Arabidopsis thaliana: one gene and its partner. The protein of the gene in region 1 interacts with the protein of each later gene in a pairwise test. Each region holds a gene or a part of one and is shown in the gene's direction. Other genes may lie near its edges.

The links. The genes of interacting proteins can lie anywhere in the genome.
Region 2: the proteins of AT4G12240 (region 1) and JLO interact in a two-hybrid assay, tested with the Arabidopsis thaliana proteins (one large-scale study listed by BioGRID).

The regions. Positions count from the first base shown.
Region 1 is NC_003075.7:7,284,683-7,292,184, forward strand, and holds AT4G12240 (zinc finger (C2H2 type) family protein), read left to right. Parts: upstream 1-3,120; 5' UTR 3,121-3,212; coding exon 3,213-4,307; 3' UTR 4,308-4,543; downstream 4,544-7,502. Other genes in the region: AT4G12230 (alpha/beta-Hydrolases superfamily protein), read left to right, coding at 1-34, 702-827, 1,007-1,105, 1,211-1,353, 1,451-1,559, 1,676-1,783, 1,878-2,018, 2,286-2,666; GAE5 (UDP-D-glucuronate 4-epimerase 5), read right to left, coding at 4,856-6,166.
Region 2 is NC_003075.7:86,899-95,241, forward strand, and holds JLO (Lateral organ boundaries (LOB) domain family protein), read left to right. Parts: upstream 1-3,009; 5' UTR 3,010-3,248; coding exon 3,249-3,557; intron 3,558-4,811; coding exon 4,812-5,189; 3' UTR 5,190-5,357; downstream 5,358-8,343. Other genes in the region: XSP1 (xylem serine peptidase 1), read left to right, coding at 7,037-7,141, 7,253-7,344, 7,471-7,568, 7,659-7,802, 7,893-7,998, 8,304-8,343. UniProt on the Arabidopsis thaliana protein: Involved in the positive regulation of tracheary element (TE) differentiation. Involved in a positive feedback loop that maintains or promotes NAC030/VND7 expression that regulates TE differentiation-related genes.

The DNA.
Region 1 (7,502 bases):
CTTTAAATCTCAGGTTCCTCTTCACAAGATTCCCGTATGTTTCTTCTTCCTCTCTCTCTCTTTGACTTTTGATGAATTTTCGATTCTGCATTCTATTCGGCTACTAAATTAGGTTTAATCTCGAGCTTTTGAGGTTTTGATTTTTGTTTTTTTTTTTGTTGATTTTCGATTAATCTCATGTGGGTTTTAATCGTTTGGGTTTATGCAGAATTTTTTGTGTGAGTAGTTCTATCGTAAATGGGTTTATCCTGCTGAGTTTGGGTTCAAATTTTATGCTTAGAATTTTAATTTTTGGGTTCTTGTCTAAAAGCAAGAACTTGGTAGTCTTTAGTTTAGTGATGGGTATTCTCCATTTTTGATCTTTTTAACTTCTGTAGATTCTTTTAGTGTTGCTTTTGATTTGATCTATGAGTAGCCTGTGACACACTTAGTGATTTGTCTTTGTTTATGTTCGCATATTTAGTTCTTAGCTCTACTAATCCCAAGCAACTATTGAATGGCTCTATAGATGTAATGTTTGTTCGGGTTGTGTTGCTTAGAGTTTGGAAAACTGTGATTTGTTAAGCATTTGTACATGTATGTCCACTGTTTCAAGCTTCGGAATGAAAGATTTCATTTTTTTTGTTTTTTCTTGGAATGTCATTTGCTCAGAGCATAAACAATCTTATAAATATCTAGCTTTATGTGCATGCTAACTGCAGATTGGGACAAAGCAATGGCGTTACTATGACTTTGGTCCAAAGACTGTTCCTCCGCTCATATGTATTCCTGGAATTGCAGGAACTGCAGATGTTTACTATAAACAGATTATGGCACTCTCTATGAAGGTTTGTCAAGTTCTAGTCTTTCAACAGTTATCTGCAAACAATCTTTTCTTAATCACAGGTAGCTTTAAACATTTGTTAGGATATGGTAACTTAGATGCTTATGTGTTGATGTGATCCTTGGGGACTGATTAGATATCTCCAAAAATGTTGAACTTATGTTGTTAAATCTGCAATTCCAGGGTTATCGGGTAATCTCAGTTGATATTCCACGGGTTTGGAATTATCATGAGTGGATTCAAGCATTTGAGAAGTTCTTGGACACCATTGATGTTCATCACGTAAGATCTCTTTAAGTTACAAATCACCATCTAAGTTCCTAAATTTTTTTATTGGTGCGGAAATATATGGCATTGTAAGTGATTGTACTTGACCATTCTTAATAGGTGCATCTCTACGGTACTTCCCTTGGAGGCTTCTTAGCACAACTCTTTGCTCATCACCGTCCAAGGCGGGTTAAATCATTAGTTCTATCAAATACATATTTGGATACTCGTACTTTTGCTACTGCAATGCCATGGGCTCCTTTGTATGTCTCTCTTATACGATTATTCCTTCTTTATTTTTATTGTTTGTGCCTAAGTATTTGTACTGACTCTCAACGCTTTTCGTGATGCTCTGTGCAGTGTCAGTTGGACCCCTTCTTTTTTGCTTAAACGATACGTCTTAACAGGAATTCGTGACGGACCTCATGAACCCTTTATAGCTGACTCTGTCGACTTTGCTGTTTCTCAGGTTGCTATCCTGATTATTTCATCTATGATATTTTCTTGAACGGATCTGAATAACATGTGGACAAGGAATTTTAGATAAACTTACCAGCTCGGTTTCTTTGGTTTACTCTGATTTAGGTGGAGACATTGTCGAAAGATGATTTGGCTTCCCGGTTAACTTTAACTGTGGATGCTGCTTCCGTGGGATCTCTACTACTCTCTGATTCTTCAGTTACTATAATGGATGTAGGTTTCGATTAGCTATATACGGGACTTTTCGTATTATCAATGCAAGTAATTTTATCGTTGTCTAACAATGCTGTTATGTCTTCCAAATCAGACAAATGATTACTGCGCAATACCACAACATCTTAAAGATGAACTAACAGAGAGGTATCCTGAAGCAAGGAGAGCTTACTTAAAGAGTGGAGGAGATTTCCCATTCCTATCACGGCCCGACGAAGTCAATTTGCATCTACAGGTACATATCTACTCAGTATCTAAAGCCAAATTTGAAGTATACATATACTCAGTTTCGACAGCCGAATTTATATACTCCTAAGGCTCTTTTCAAGAAATTATGAACTTTTAAAGAAACTTGAAACTTCTCTACCTATTTTTTAGATTTCATACCGTTGAAGGGATTTTTTTTTCCAATCAAACCGGTTTTATTGCTTGGTAAAGGAACATCATGTTACTGCATCAAAACATTATATTCTTATGATGAATCTCACTCTTATGTTTTCAGCTACACTTAAGGCGGGTAGGAGTAGAACCACGACCCGAAGTGGTTAAAAGCATTCCAAAAGGCGGCGCAGATGGCACAGACGGTAGCAGCCAGAGCAAGAAGAAGAGTGATGAGGAGAAGGACGACCGTAACAACAATATGCCTCAAGACTCTGGAAGCTCATCTTCAGATCAATCACCGACATTTCCAGAAAGTTCCGGAAGCTCCAACGATCCGCCTTTACCCACAGACACCATTCAGTTACTGAGTTCATCATTGAACAACCTCATATTAGTTCAACTCGCTGGTGAAGTTTATCAGTCTTGTGTGGTTTTCACATTGTGTTACTGTACATTGGTTTTGGTTCACGGTGGTGGTTTTATCTCCAGACAATTGGTTTAGTGTTCTTTATTTATTTATTACCTCTTTTGTTGTTTAAATCTTTTTACTTTTGGGTTTCTTTGATCTGTTTTGGTTTCTCTTGACTTTTTGTATAAGTTTGTAAGACAAAGCAAGAGTTCTCTGTATGTTTCAAGTTATTACACTTTTGGAAGAAAACTTTGGTTGGGTTTTGGGATTAAACCAATGTGCTTTCTATTATTTACACATTTTGCTCTTTTAAAATTTAGTCGCTCATTATTTATTTGTTTTTATCTTTTACTGTATTCAAAACAATAACAGTAATAACCTAATGCAGTAGAAATTTGATAATTTTCTATGAACAGTGGTGTGTTTTGTTCCCTAATAAAGTTAAGGAAGAAAATTGTAACATTTACAAAGTTCAGGGTTATAGGTGTTATATTTTGTATTTCAATTCGTCTTCTTCTTTGCTCCAGATTGAACTTACATGAGAATCGCCGAACTCTAATCGGATCCGGGTCGGGTATGTAATGTAAACCGGGTTTTTTGAAGCCCCCATCTTCTCCGTCGATTTTAAAGATCCCGGCGATGTTTTCAAGATTTGTCCTAAAAAGTTGGAGACCTAAAACCCAAACCACATCTCTCAATTCAATCAAAGGTTTTAGCTTTAGCTCTAGCTCGATAAACCCTAAACCCAAAATCCGAGTAGGGGTTTGGTGGGATCTAGACAACAAACCACCAGCCTCTTTCCCGCCTTACGACGCCGCCGTCAAGCTCCGAACCGCCGCGTCGTCTTTCGGAACCGTGAAGCTAATGATGGCGTATGCGAATCGTCACGCCTTTAGCTACGTTCCTTTAGAAGTTCGAGAACAGAGGAAAGATAGGAAATTGCTAAACAAATTAGAGAACAAAGGTTTAGTTAAACCACCGGAGCCTTACTTCTGCGGTGTTTGTGACCGGAGATTCTACACTAACGAGAAGCTAATTAATCATTTCAAGCAGATTCATGAGACAGAGAATCAGAAACGTATGAGACAGATTGAATCTTCGAAAGGACATCGAAGAGTGAGACTTGTGGCTAAGTATTCGATGAAGATTGAGAAGTATAAAAGAGCGGCGAGGAATGTTTTGACTCCGAAGGAAGGTTACGGTTTAGCTGATGAGCTGAAACGAGCTGGTTTTTGGGTGAAGATGGTTAGTGATAAGCCAGATGCTGCTGATAAGGCGTTGAAGGAACATTTGGTTGAAGTGATGGATAAGAGAGAAGTGGAGTGTGTTGTTTTAGTGTCTGATGATTCTGATTTTGCGGGGATTTTGTGGGAAGCTAAGGAGAGGTGTTTGAGGACGGTTGTGATTGGAGATTCGAACGAAGGTGCGCTGAAGCGAGTAGCGGATGTTGCGTATTCGTGGAAGGAAGTGACGATGGGGAAGGCGAAGAAGGAAGTTGAGAAAGTTGTGGGGAAGTGGAAGGATAGAGATGTGTTGAAGAAGTTGGAGTGGACTTATGATCCTGCTTTGGAGAAAGAGAGAGGTGGTTCTTGCGGTGTTTGGGATTACGAGTTTGATTATGATGATGAGATTGAGAATGGAACAGAGGTGGAACCTGTGGAGATTGGTGATGGTGTTGACTGGTGGAAGATCGATACTGAAGATGGTGTTGGATCTTCAAGAACTTGTCGATAACATCATCGCATATGTCGTGGTTGATTGCGCAGAGGAAGATAACATGGTATAGGCTAGAGAACAATCTTGTGAATCTATTGGCATATTACATAAACTTCAGGCTAGAGAACATTCATTGTTTCTTGTTATAAGATTATGCAGTGATTTGATTTGTTCTTCCAAACCATCATCGTTAGTCAAGTGATTAGAGCTATGTAAAAATTGGTCAGAATAAGAATAAATATATGTTTGAATTCACAAGAAACAAGTGACAATAGATTGAATTACTACAGAGTATATGCATCAAAATCCAAGCTACTTTATTCCTCCGACATGATGGAAAAGACAATTGAGTTTCGACAATTGAAACATCTAAGTGATGAAGCTGTACATTGCTCAAAATCTACTAACAAATAAATGAAGCAAAATCTAGCAACACAGAAACAATGCAGATACGTAAGTGATTTTTCCTGGCAATGCAAGTGCTCGGTTTCAAAAGCTTAACCTAGAGCGAACTCCAAGCTCAACAAGGGGAAACAGAGACCATGACTTAAGCAGAGAGACAGAGCTCACCAAGAACTCTTCTTCTTCGAGCCAGTGTAAAAACCCATATACCATTTCACAAACTTTTTCAAACCCGTCTCAAGATCAACCGCAGGTTTATAACCGAGCTCTGCTTGCGCTAACGTGATATTGGCATGAGTAAACTCAACATCCCCATTCCTCGGTAGAGGCATGATCTTTTTCTTAGCTTTCATCTTCAAAAGCTTCTCTAATATAGTCACAAGCTTAGTAACAGGAACAGGAGAAGTATTCCCCAAATTATAAATCCTAAACATAGCAGGACCTTTCTTCTTACCACCACTACCAGTACTCTTCTCAGCAGTATCTAACGCACCTAAACAACCTTTTACAATATCATCAATGTAAGTGAAGTCCCTAGCAACACTACCTTTATCAGGAGATTCAAACACAGTAATCGTCTTCCCTTTAAGAATATCTTTAGTAAAGAAGAAATACGCCATATCTGGTCTACCCCAAGGTCCATAGACAGTGAAAAACCGCAAACCCGTTAACGATAATCCGTAGATGTGATTGTAAGTATGCGCAATTCCTTCACCTGCTTTCTTCGTAGCTGCGTACAAACTCGCTGGTTGATCGGTACGGTCTTTCTCCGAAAAGGGTACTTTCGAATTCAGACCATAAACAGAGCTAGAGGAAGCCCAGACTATAGCAGGTTGCGGATTCGCTGATTTCGATACTTCTAATAGATTCACAAACCCAGCAATGTTACTGTTAACATATGAGCCAGGGTTTTGCATTGCGTAACGCACACCAGCTTGAGCAGCGAGATGCATAACATGTGTGAAGAGGACAACATCAAAGAGCTTTCTGAGTAAAACGGCGTCGTTTATATCGCCTTCGACTACGAAAACACCTGATCTTTCTAAAAGGCCTTGTCTTGCTCGTTTAAGCTTTGGATCGTAGTATCGATTGAAATTGTCGAGACCTAGAACACCATCGCCGCGTCTTCGTAACGCGATCGAGACGTGAGTACCGACGAATCCGGAAGCTCCGGTGACTAATACCGTTAAACCGCCGTGAGACCTAGGACGAGCGGATTTACGGACTTGTTTCTCCCAGTGAGAGCCGCCGTATTTCGCGGCGGAAATGGAGGAAGAATCGTTGAGATTCCGGCGAGATGGTGACGGAGGAGGAGATAAAACGAGGTAGAAGAGGAAGAGAGCGAGGAAGAGAGAAGCCCAAAGGGTGAGTTTTGAGAGACGGAGGTAACGGTGGTGGTGGAGAATCCCGTACGGTGGAACTTTATCGGTTTTGTACTTTCCGGGAGTAGAAGGAAGATCATCAAGGTGAGACATTTTCACCGGAGGAGGATTTAGAAATCGGAGAAAATGTCGATTAGGGTTAGGTTTGGATTTTTGGGTCTTAAGGAAGCAAAATTGAGCAAGTCAAAAATGAGAGGATTTTCCGGGAAAGAAGAAAGAGACGATCTTTTACTTACTTGTTGTAATTAAATTAAATGTGGATGGTTTAATTTGGTTAATGATGTAAATTTATTTATTTGGTTCAATCTTTAAGATATGGTAATAAGAAAGCTGCCAGAGAGTATATTTAGATTCATGAATTTTAGATTGCTTTTCAAAGTTAAAACGTGTTTGTAGATTGTTGACATTTGTATAGTTGTATTGCATTCTATATTGATCATGTTATGCATGTACTTTTGTACACGATCACATATACACTATTTTTACACGCAATAATTGTTTAATAATATTTACTACTTTTGCTTTTAACTTCTGTATTTCTTTGTTCCGATTGATAATAAAAAGAAAAATTATACAATAACAAAAGGTTATAAGAAATGTGAAATAACGGGGGTAATAATGATAAAAATAGATATAAAATCGATCGTATCATGTCATATATATAAATAATATCTTTCGGGATTAACTTTTTTTAGTTCTAATTTATATCGATTGACAAAAAAGTAAATAATACAAAATCGGTTATTTTTGAGGAATTTTATTACGAGTTATTTTTTATTTTATGAAATTGATCTGTTTTTTAGGAGGTAAACAATAAAATTGCATTAAAAAATGTAGTGATTTTTTTATTTTTTAATAAGAATTTTCTACTTATAATGTGAACAATACTATGTGGATACATGCTAGTATGTTAGCAATGTGAACAATATTCGTGATAAGTTAAATATTATTTTAATTTAGTTTATGATTGTTATATCTCACCTAACCATTATTTTCGACATCAAACGAAAATTAATGTTATATATTCCTAGTGTCATAGTAAAAGCTTTAAGAAATAATCCACATTTAATAAGATATACAAATCGTAATATACCATATAATCACGCAACACTGATATTAATCAGCTTAGTATAGTTAACCTATCAGAAAATTGATCTCTTTATAATAAAATTCTATTTCTTTATGGTAATAAGGAGCCAAATCAATTACTACCAAAATATCGGTTATGCCATATACAGTTAATTTGTAATTACTCTGGTTAGATTAGGATATTATCAAAATCAAGATTGACTTTGTCCTTCTAGCGATCATTAACTAATTTTACTAGAGCATAACCGGCTGGGTCAAAGAAATTTGCTTTTATTGCACAAAATTCTAAATTTATTTCAAAAAATTGTTGTTTGACGCTTGTACTAATTATCAAGCTAGT
Region 2 (8,343 bases), 7.2 Mb from region 1:
AAAGACGTAACGTTTTGTTTGGGGGAAGTTGTGTCGTCGTCGACCACAGTTATTATATATCCAATCCAAAGAGATGTTTAAGAGAGAGAGATGGATGGGTTTGTTTATGAATAAATGTTTTTAAGTTGATGTGGAGCATAGAGGATCGTGTCAGGCAAGAAAATCATGTCTTGCTTTTGGTGGTGGGTCATTTATAATCATTACATTTTTCTATAACTTGATCATCTTTTCTTTTGTATGTCCATATTTTTGTTTTTTGTTTTCCTTGGTGTGTTTCACTTTTCTGTACATAGTTGAATCACACACTCAAGAAACAAGCTATTTTCAAACAAGTGAAAGAATTATCTATTTATGGACTCCTAAAATCAATGAAAGCATATAACACAAGGAGGGATAACATATACTTGTAAATTGAAAAGTAGACAAATCAACAATATATATCATCTAAATTAGCAATCATAGGTTTAAGACATAAAAAGATTTTGTATATGCCACTGAGAATCTAGAACTAACTATCAGTCTATCACACAAGCAAGGCCTAGAAAGTAGTGAACAAGTAAGGATTTAGAATTTTAGATAGTGAGTAATGAAGATATATATAGGCTGGTGGGTTCAGTTAACAAGGTACTAAAATCGGATTATAACGAGGGATCAAGTGGTGGGGATTATGAATTATTATAGTAATGAGAATGAATGTACTAGTACTAATTAGAATGAGTAAAGCTTGGAAGCAACGGCAGAGCAGATTTGTGATATATACAAAGGACAAACAAACACAAATGCTTTGCGTGAAGCAAAACACAATTAGCTGCTTGCTGACGTATTTCTCTCTCACCACTCAGCCGCAGGTTTCCCTGTCACACACACGTGCGATCCCTCACCACACGTGTGTAATTCTTTTATATATGTTATATACTGTATATAATTTTTTGTCAAACTAGTTCTCTATGGACAGCTTTCGTGATAGAATTATAGAGAGAAAATCGAGATGTATGTTGCTTCTTGTTTCTACAAATCGTATAGTCAGAAACAGACATGACACTGATCACTGTTTGCTTCCCCCGCAAGTACAACCTCAGTCAGTCAGTTACTGTCATGTCTCTCTTTCTCTCTGTTTGACAAGATCCCTGACCCTTGTTCACTTCCCTAATTTAAAGCCTTCTCCTTAATGGGCCGGGCCTTGTATCTGTTTCGGATCCTTCTTTATAGCGAAATGATTAATAGTAGTGATTACACCTAAAATGTACGTATATGACAAAAAGAATAGTTTTTTTCTTCTGTTTCTCTTGTACTATTAGGCCTAGTGAATGTATTAAATACAAACAGTGTACATTAGCGTACGCAAGCGGTGAGGAAAGGAGCAGAAGAGGGCGTGATACGAGGACACGTGTCTCATGTTAGTACAAACAAAGATTGGACAAGAGCCGGACGGCACGGTGACCTCTGTCAACAACTGTTACCGTTTCTTCTAATCTATTTGTTAATCTCCTAAGTAATGTAATTAATTAGTTTTCACTGTTCATAATTAATCAAGTAATAATAACATAAGAAATGAAATGGGAGCGTTACTTGTATACCATATGCACTCGCAAACGAGCCATTGGTTGCGTCAGAACGGTTACGTTCTTCATAAAAGTCACATTCGACACATGGCGATCATATATACGTGCCAATTTTTCCGGTTCTCTCAAATCCAATCCCGGTTTCTTTCTTTTATGTTTTGATCACCGGTTCTTCTTCTAAACCAACTTAGCTTTACTCATTTGGTGATTATTATTGGACCGTCGTAATCGTCACTCTTTTCTTTTTTGAATCAATGATGTGAGATATGTATATTATACACGCACACGTACACACGTGTATTTGATCATTCTTGCCGTCACCAAATTTTAAACTCATTTATCGTGTAATAATATATTGGAGATCCGCACTGACTAGACTATACATTACATAGATCTTGTAATTTCGGAAAGTTCAAATATTTGTGAAATATATGCACTAGTTGGAGTTTCCTTATTTGTACCTTAATCGAATATTGAGTAAACATGATTCCCTGACCCAAATATAGATTGCGTACATCAACTCATTAATACCGTCAATAAATACGAGTTTTTGCATATAATCATTACATGGTCATATGTAATAAATCTAGTTGTTTTGGAAATTGCATATTCTCTCCCTCCCTCTTTATCAATTTTACATATATGTAGCATCAGCAATATATGTGAATTTGTTACATTAGTAGTTTAGTTTGTATTTTAATTTTTTGGATAAATTATGAATTCTATTACCAAAATTGAACATTGTTTTTTACAAATACTTTGGGGCAGTGAATTTCTAAAACCAAAAAAAAAAAGTTAGTAATTTGTATAGGTATTATCGCCGTGGTATACACTTAATTCAAATATCATAATATACATGTTCGTGTCATATACGACAAAAGTAAAATTAAAGTTTGCAAAAAAAATTTTATTTAAAGAATCTAACGGAAAAAAACCGCTTAAATTTTCTAGAAAATGTTGCCAAATGTTGATAAAATATCCGATTAACCAAAAAGAAAATAACGCATAGCGGTGAACCGTTACATTTCGACTACAAAGTTATCACATTAAAATCACCGCCAAAAATTAGTAATTAATTAGATTATATATATATATATATATATATATATATATATATTTAAGCTCATTTTATACATTTATTTGTTTGTAAAATTAATTTCTCATAGTATTAGATTGAATGTTCATATATTACAATTGGTATATACCATAAGATAGTTGTGTGGTTCGATGTAACAAAAATAAAATTAAACCAGAAGTAGAAAAAGTGAAGGAAAGGGAATAACAATGAAGAAGTTGAAAGATATGGAATGTTTTGCTTCACGCAAAGAGCTTAACACGAGACAAGTACGCTCCATCGCGTTGCTTTGAAGTCTTTTTTTTCTTCTTCTTCTTCTTGTCTTAACCTCTTTTTTATTTTTTAGTCTTGGTAATAACAAGACTAATTAAATTATTATTTTACTTTTTTTATTATCTACCAACAACCAAACCCTAGTTTTGCTTACGTCCGATCTCCTCCTTCTCTCTTTTCTTCTCTCCCAAACGTTCCCTTTCTTTTTTTTCTCTAATCACGAACCAAAAAGCATCATAATCTCGATGAGTTAAATCCATGTATCTCAAAACCCTAATCACCACTTAGCTAGTAAAAGGAAAGGAAAATAAAAAGGACTTGTGTGGTAGAAAAGGAAGATGAGCAGTAGCGGAAACCCTAGCAGCAGCAGCGGTGGAGGAGGAGGACCGTGCGGCGCGTGCAAGTTCTTGAGAAGGAAGTGTGTCGCTGGCTGCATCTTCGCTCCTTACTTTGACTCCGAGCAAGGAGCGGCGCACTTCGCGGCGGTTCACAAGGTGTTCGGAGCGAGCAACGTCTCCAAACTCCTCCACCATGTTCCCGAGCATAAACGACCAGACGCCGTCGTTTCAATCTGCTTTGAGGCTCAAGCTCGTCTCAGAGACCCTATCTACGGCTGCGTCTCTCACATCGTCTCTCTTCAGCAACAGGTTAATTATTCTTTTCATAACGTTTAATTATATGATTAGTACTATTTATGATGGGAAATTGCAACAGTTTTAAGTTGATCTACTGTCTCTATATCGTCACGTTGATCATTTTATTTTAATCATTTTCTATGTAATTATGTTTTTAACTTCTTCTTTTTTTTTGAAGAAAATTGCGTTTTCAAACTTTTTTTTTTTAAATGAGATTTTTCATTTTGACTTAATGTTCAATTAAACTACAAAGTTAAGTACTTTTTCCCATTCTATGGATCTCCTCTGATTGTCATTTCTAGGATCATATCCCATCATGCAATGATGCAAATTACCCTTTCTTATGCATCGATTTTTTTTTTTAATTCATTCCGATTTGTTCTTTTAAGGATGAATATTTTTTGTTTTTGCCATGATCGAAAACCAACTCTACATTAAAATAAGAGTTTTAAAAATCTAAAATTTTACAACTGGGTTCATGGCCTTTGCCTTTTGGGCAAAGTTATGTCTTTATATTAAATGTCGTGTCTATGAGTCTATATTTATGTGATATAGAACAAGCTTATCTTTTGATTTACACTTTTAGTAATAGTAGTTTGTTAAGAAAACATGCATAAAGCATAATTCTATGTGTGTGTATTTCACTTCACATATAGCATATATATGAAAACTTCTCTCTATTTCCTAGTTAAAATCTCTACAGTCGTAGTTAATTGGCTAGGATTAAGGAAGTTAAGCGATCATTTAGCACATATGTATTGTGAAGTTTTGTTGAATGTTTACAAGGTTTGTTTCCAAGTGATTGAGATGACAAATCTTCCTCTGTTCGCAACAACCACGTTGTTTTACACTTATTCCCAAGCATCATTTTTTTTTTTGGTTTATCTTTTAATTGCAATATACATATATAGTACACACATACACGAGATATATACAAACGTATGCAATTGCATTCTATAAATTGATGTTAGTGAAGGATATTTCCAATATTACAAGCAAGCATTTATTTATATGTTATGTACAATGTCTTTTGTGTTATAATTAGATTGTTTTATTCAGCATATATTTTTCTAAATCGGTGGTCTTGATTGATCAATTACTCCTGTCGTGTTTTTTTGGCATTATTGAATCAACAACATTTGCTCGAATTCGGAAACTCTTCCAATTATTAAAGATTGCTGAAAATATCATTTTATCTAGATTCTTATCACTCTTTCATATTTGTTGGCATTATTATCCATTTCAATTTCGTTATAAAAAAAACAGGTGGTAAGTTTGCAAACTGAGCTTTCATATCTACAAGCACACTTAGCAACTCTAGAGCTGCCACAACCTCAACCACCACAGGTTCCGGTGTCATCTTCAGGATCTCTACAGGCTCTTTCCATAACGGACCTCCCAACAATATCACCGTCGGTGTACGACCTCTCCTCCATCTTCGAGCCGGTCATGTCCTCCACTTGGGCCATGCAGCAACAACCACGACCGTCTGATCATCTCTTCGGCGTCCCGTCATCGTCCAATATGGGCGGAGGCGGTGAGCTCCAAGCACTGGCGCGTGAGTTTATTCACGGTGGGCAAATGCCAGCTCAGCCATCGCCGGGAACCAGTGGTTCTGCCTCGTCAGTGATAAAACGAGAATGAAGTTATTTTTATCGTATGTTTGTTTATTTGGACCGTAAGAGATCTATAGTTAGCCATATGTTTCTCCTTGTAATATATATACTTGGTCGAATTCGTATTTAAATTGTTGTCTAGAATGTTAATATAAGAACTATATGATTTACATTGATTAAATGGAGTATCTTATAGGCCAATATGTTGAAGTTGCTTTGGTCTCTTGGACCATCGAATATGTTGTTTTAATCAGCCTAGAGTACACCGGTTCTCCACAACTTGGGTGGAATCTTGAGCGTGAAGGAGGCTTGATTCTGGCGCGAGACACGAACCAATGAGTCTCATTTCTCATTTTCCCTATCACTTATATTGGGCCTTAAATGGGTTCAATAAAGTTTTTTTTTCTTATATCAAGCAGCCCAAAATATTATTTAAACCCGACTCAATTGAGTTTGATACTCTGGTTTGCTTTGTAGTCCACACTATTTTAACAACATCTTCGAAGCATGCATTTGATTTAACAATCTTCCTAATTTACTAGAGAATTTGAGCCAATTTTGTCTTTTTTTTCACCATTTTTATAAAAGCTGGTTTTCAACTTGTGTTCTCTTAGCATTTCCCGCCTCTACATCAACTAGAAGGCCCTACACGGACCTTGAACATGATCTTAGCGATGTCTAAGGACTAAGCTACATAAACCAATGAGTAAAATACATATGGATTGGACAATAATCACCAATCAAAACCCCAACGTCGATTGCATAGCCGATAAGTAGTACCACAATGGTGAGAGGAGGATAGTGCCAGCGGCTATGAAGGGTCGACGTAAACCAAACCTTGATGAGACACTGTAAAACACGACTATTGGTTGAACAATCAGTTCCAATCGAGGCTCACAAAGTCAAAGCATGCTTGTAAGATATTTGGAGTAATTGAAGGTACGGTGTAATCAGAGCGTTTCTTGAATTGCCGAAATGAAGTTTAGCCCTATGGCTATAGAAGCAATAAGCCATTTTTATATTCATAACTTTAGAGGTATTAATAAGAAACATATATAAATTTTTTTATAAATGTATTGACAAAAAATCAAGTAAAAATAAGCAAGATGCAAAACATAAGCAACATTTCTAATTAATATTATATAATTTTTTATAATGATTTTATACATGAAAAAATCTCTAATTAATAGATATGACACATGTGTGATCATGTGAGTTATCAATTTTGAATAATTTTTTAATACTAAATTGACATATTGTTTGATCAGAAAATGTCATTTTTTGAAACTAAGTGAATGAATAAAGGGTTGAGCTAAGCAATATATAATTGTTGATGATGAAATAATAACATGAATACAAATTATATTTATATGTGTGTATCAATTAGTGTAATATTTAAGAGAGAACCATTGGAGTAGAGCCTTACAAGACAATATATGATCACCATTGGAAAACTTTAAAGCTATTACTATGGTAAAAACTCAATTGCTTGAATTCGAATTCAAGTAATCAAAATCTTATTATTAGCTCAAATCTCAAGTTCCTATTACTACTCTATACATATACATGTGTATTAATCTATGTTATCACCAAAATAGAAACAATTAGATATAGCAAGTGACCACTATTTTCCTTCTAAGACACCATACGAACTAATTTTTATCAAAAACAAATTATCAAGCTCTATTACAATTCCGCATGTGTGCTATACATTAGATTAATTAAAAGAAATTAAATCTGTTTTCACTCCATTTATCAAAAGTAACATCTTTAACGAATCAAACCCATAAGGTACTCTTACTCTCTATTAATAGAGGAGAATGTGTCATCTTCTCATTACTCAATAAGCATACTTATCATATACACAATACCACAATGATAAGGTCAAAATGTTCTTGCCATCATCATCTACTTGTTCTTGTTATGGTTGTTCTTTGGATATCACCAAGATATGCTTCAGCCGAAGATGAACATGCAAAGGTAATGATTGTATACAATCTCTTTGTTTCTCCAGCTTCTTTGTCATCAGATTGAACAAAACTTTATGTTGCAAGGAGAATATTTACTCTTGAAATACTTAATCATATAAAGGATTTCTATATCATATATTTGGGAGATCGACCGGATAATACAGAAGAAACTATCAAGACACACATAAATCTTCTATCATCTTTGAATATCAGGTACATGTCATTCATCAATACATGTATAAGACATACTCTAAAACATATAAATGCGTAACGTTTTATGGAGTAATGTTCTACTTGGTTGTTTGCTAATCAAATTTATAACGTCTCTTGAGAAAACAGCCAAGAAGAAGCAAAGGAAAGAAAAGTATATAGTTACACTAAAGCCTTCAACGCTTTTGCTGCCAAGCTTTCTCCACATGAAGCTAAGAAGATGATGGGTACGTAACATTATTTGTTTTTGATATTTTTCCCAAAACAAAGCACTAGCTAGTGAGATTCATATAACTCCCATCCATGCACTGGTGCAGAGATGGAAGAAGTTGTTAGTGTATCCCGAAATCAATATCGCAAACTTCACACGACAAAATCTTGGGATTTTGTTGGACTTCCTTTGACAGCAAAAAGACATCTAAAAGCAGAGAGAGATGTTATTATTGGTGTTCTTGATACAGGTTTATTTTTTTCTATATGCAAATTGATTCGATATTATTCATTTATGCTTCTTATAATTTATCTAAACCTTCCTATAATACAACAATCAGGAATAACGCCAGACTCAGAGAGTTTCCTAGACCATGGTCTAGGACCTCCTCCGGCTAAATGGAAAGGATCTTGTGGACCTTATAAAAATTTCACCGGATGCAACAAGTATACAATTTATCTCTTACCATTTTCTACTTTAATCGATTTTAAATACAAACTTTGATCACTAGAGAATCTTGATCTCTAAGCAACATGAACTCTTGAGCAATTGTTAAAGAAAATGTCATTGCTAGAAAAACAAATAAGGAGTTAGTTGATGAATTTAAGAGTTTAGGGAGCAAATTAGAATTATGCGTTAACATAAGGAGTTAGTTGATCAATTTAAGAGTTTAGGGAGCAAATTAGAATTATGCGTTAACATAAGGGTTCTGATTGAAATAATAAATATTTAATTAATGTAACTTCAACAGCAAAATAATCGGCGCCAAGTACTTCAAGCACGACGGCAAT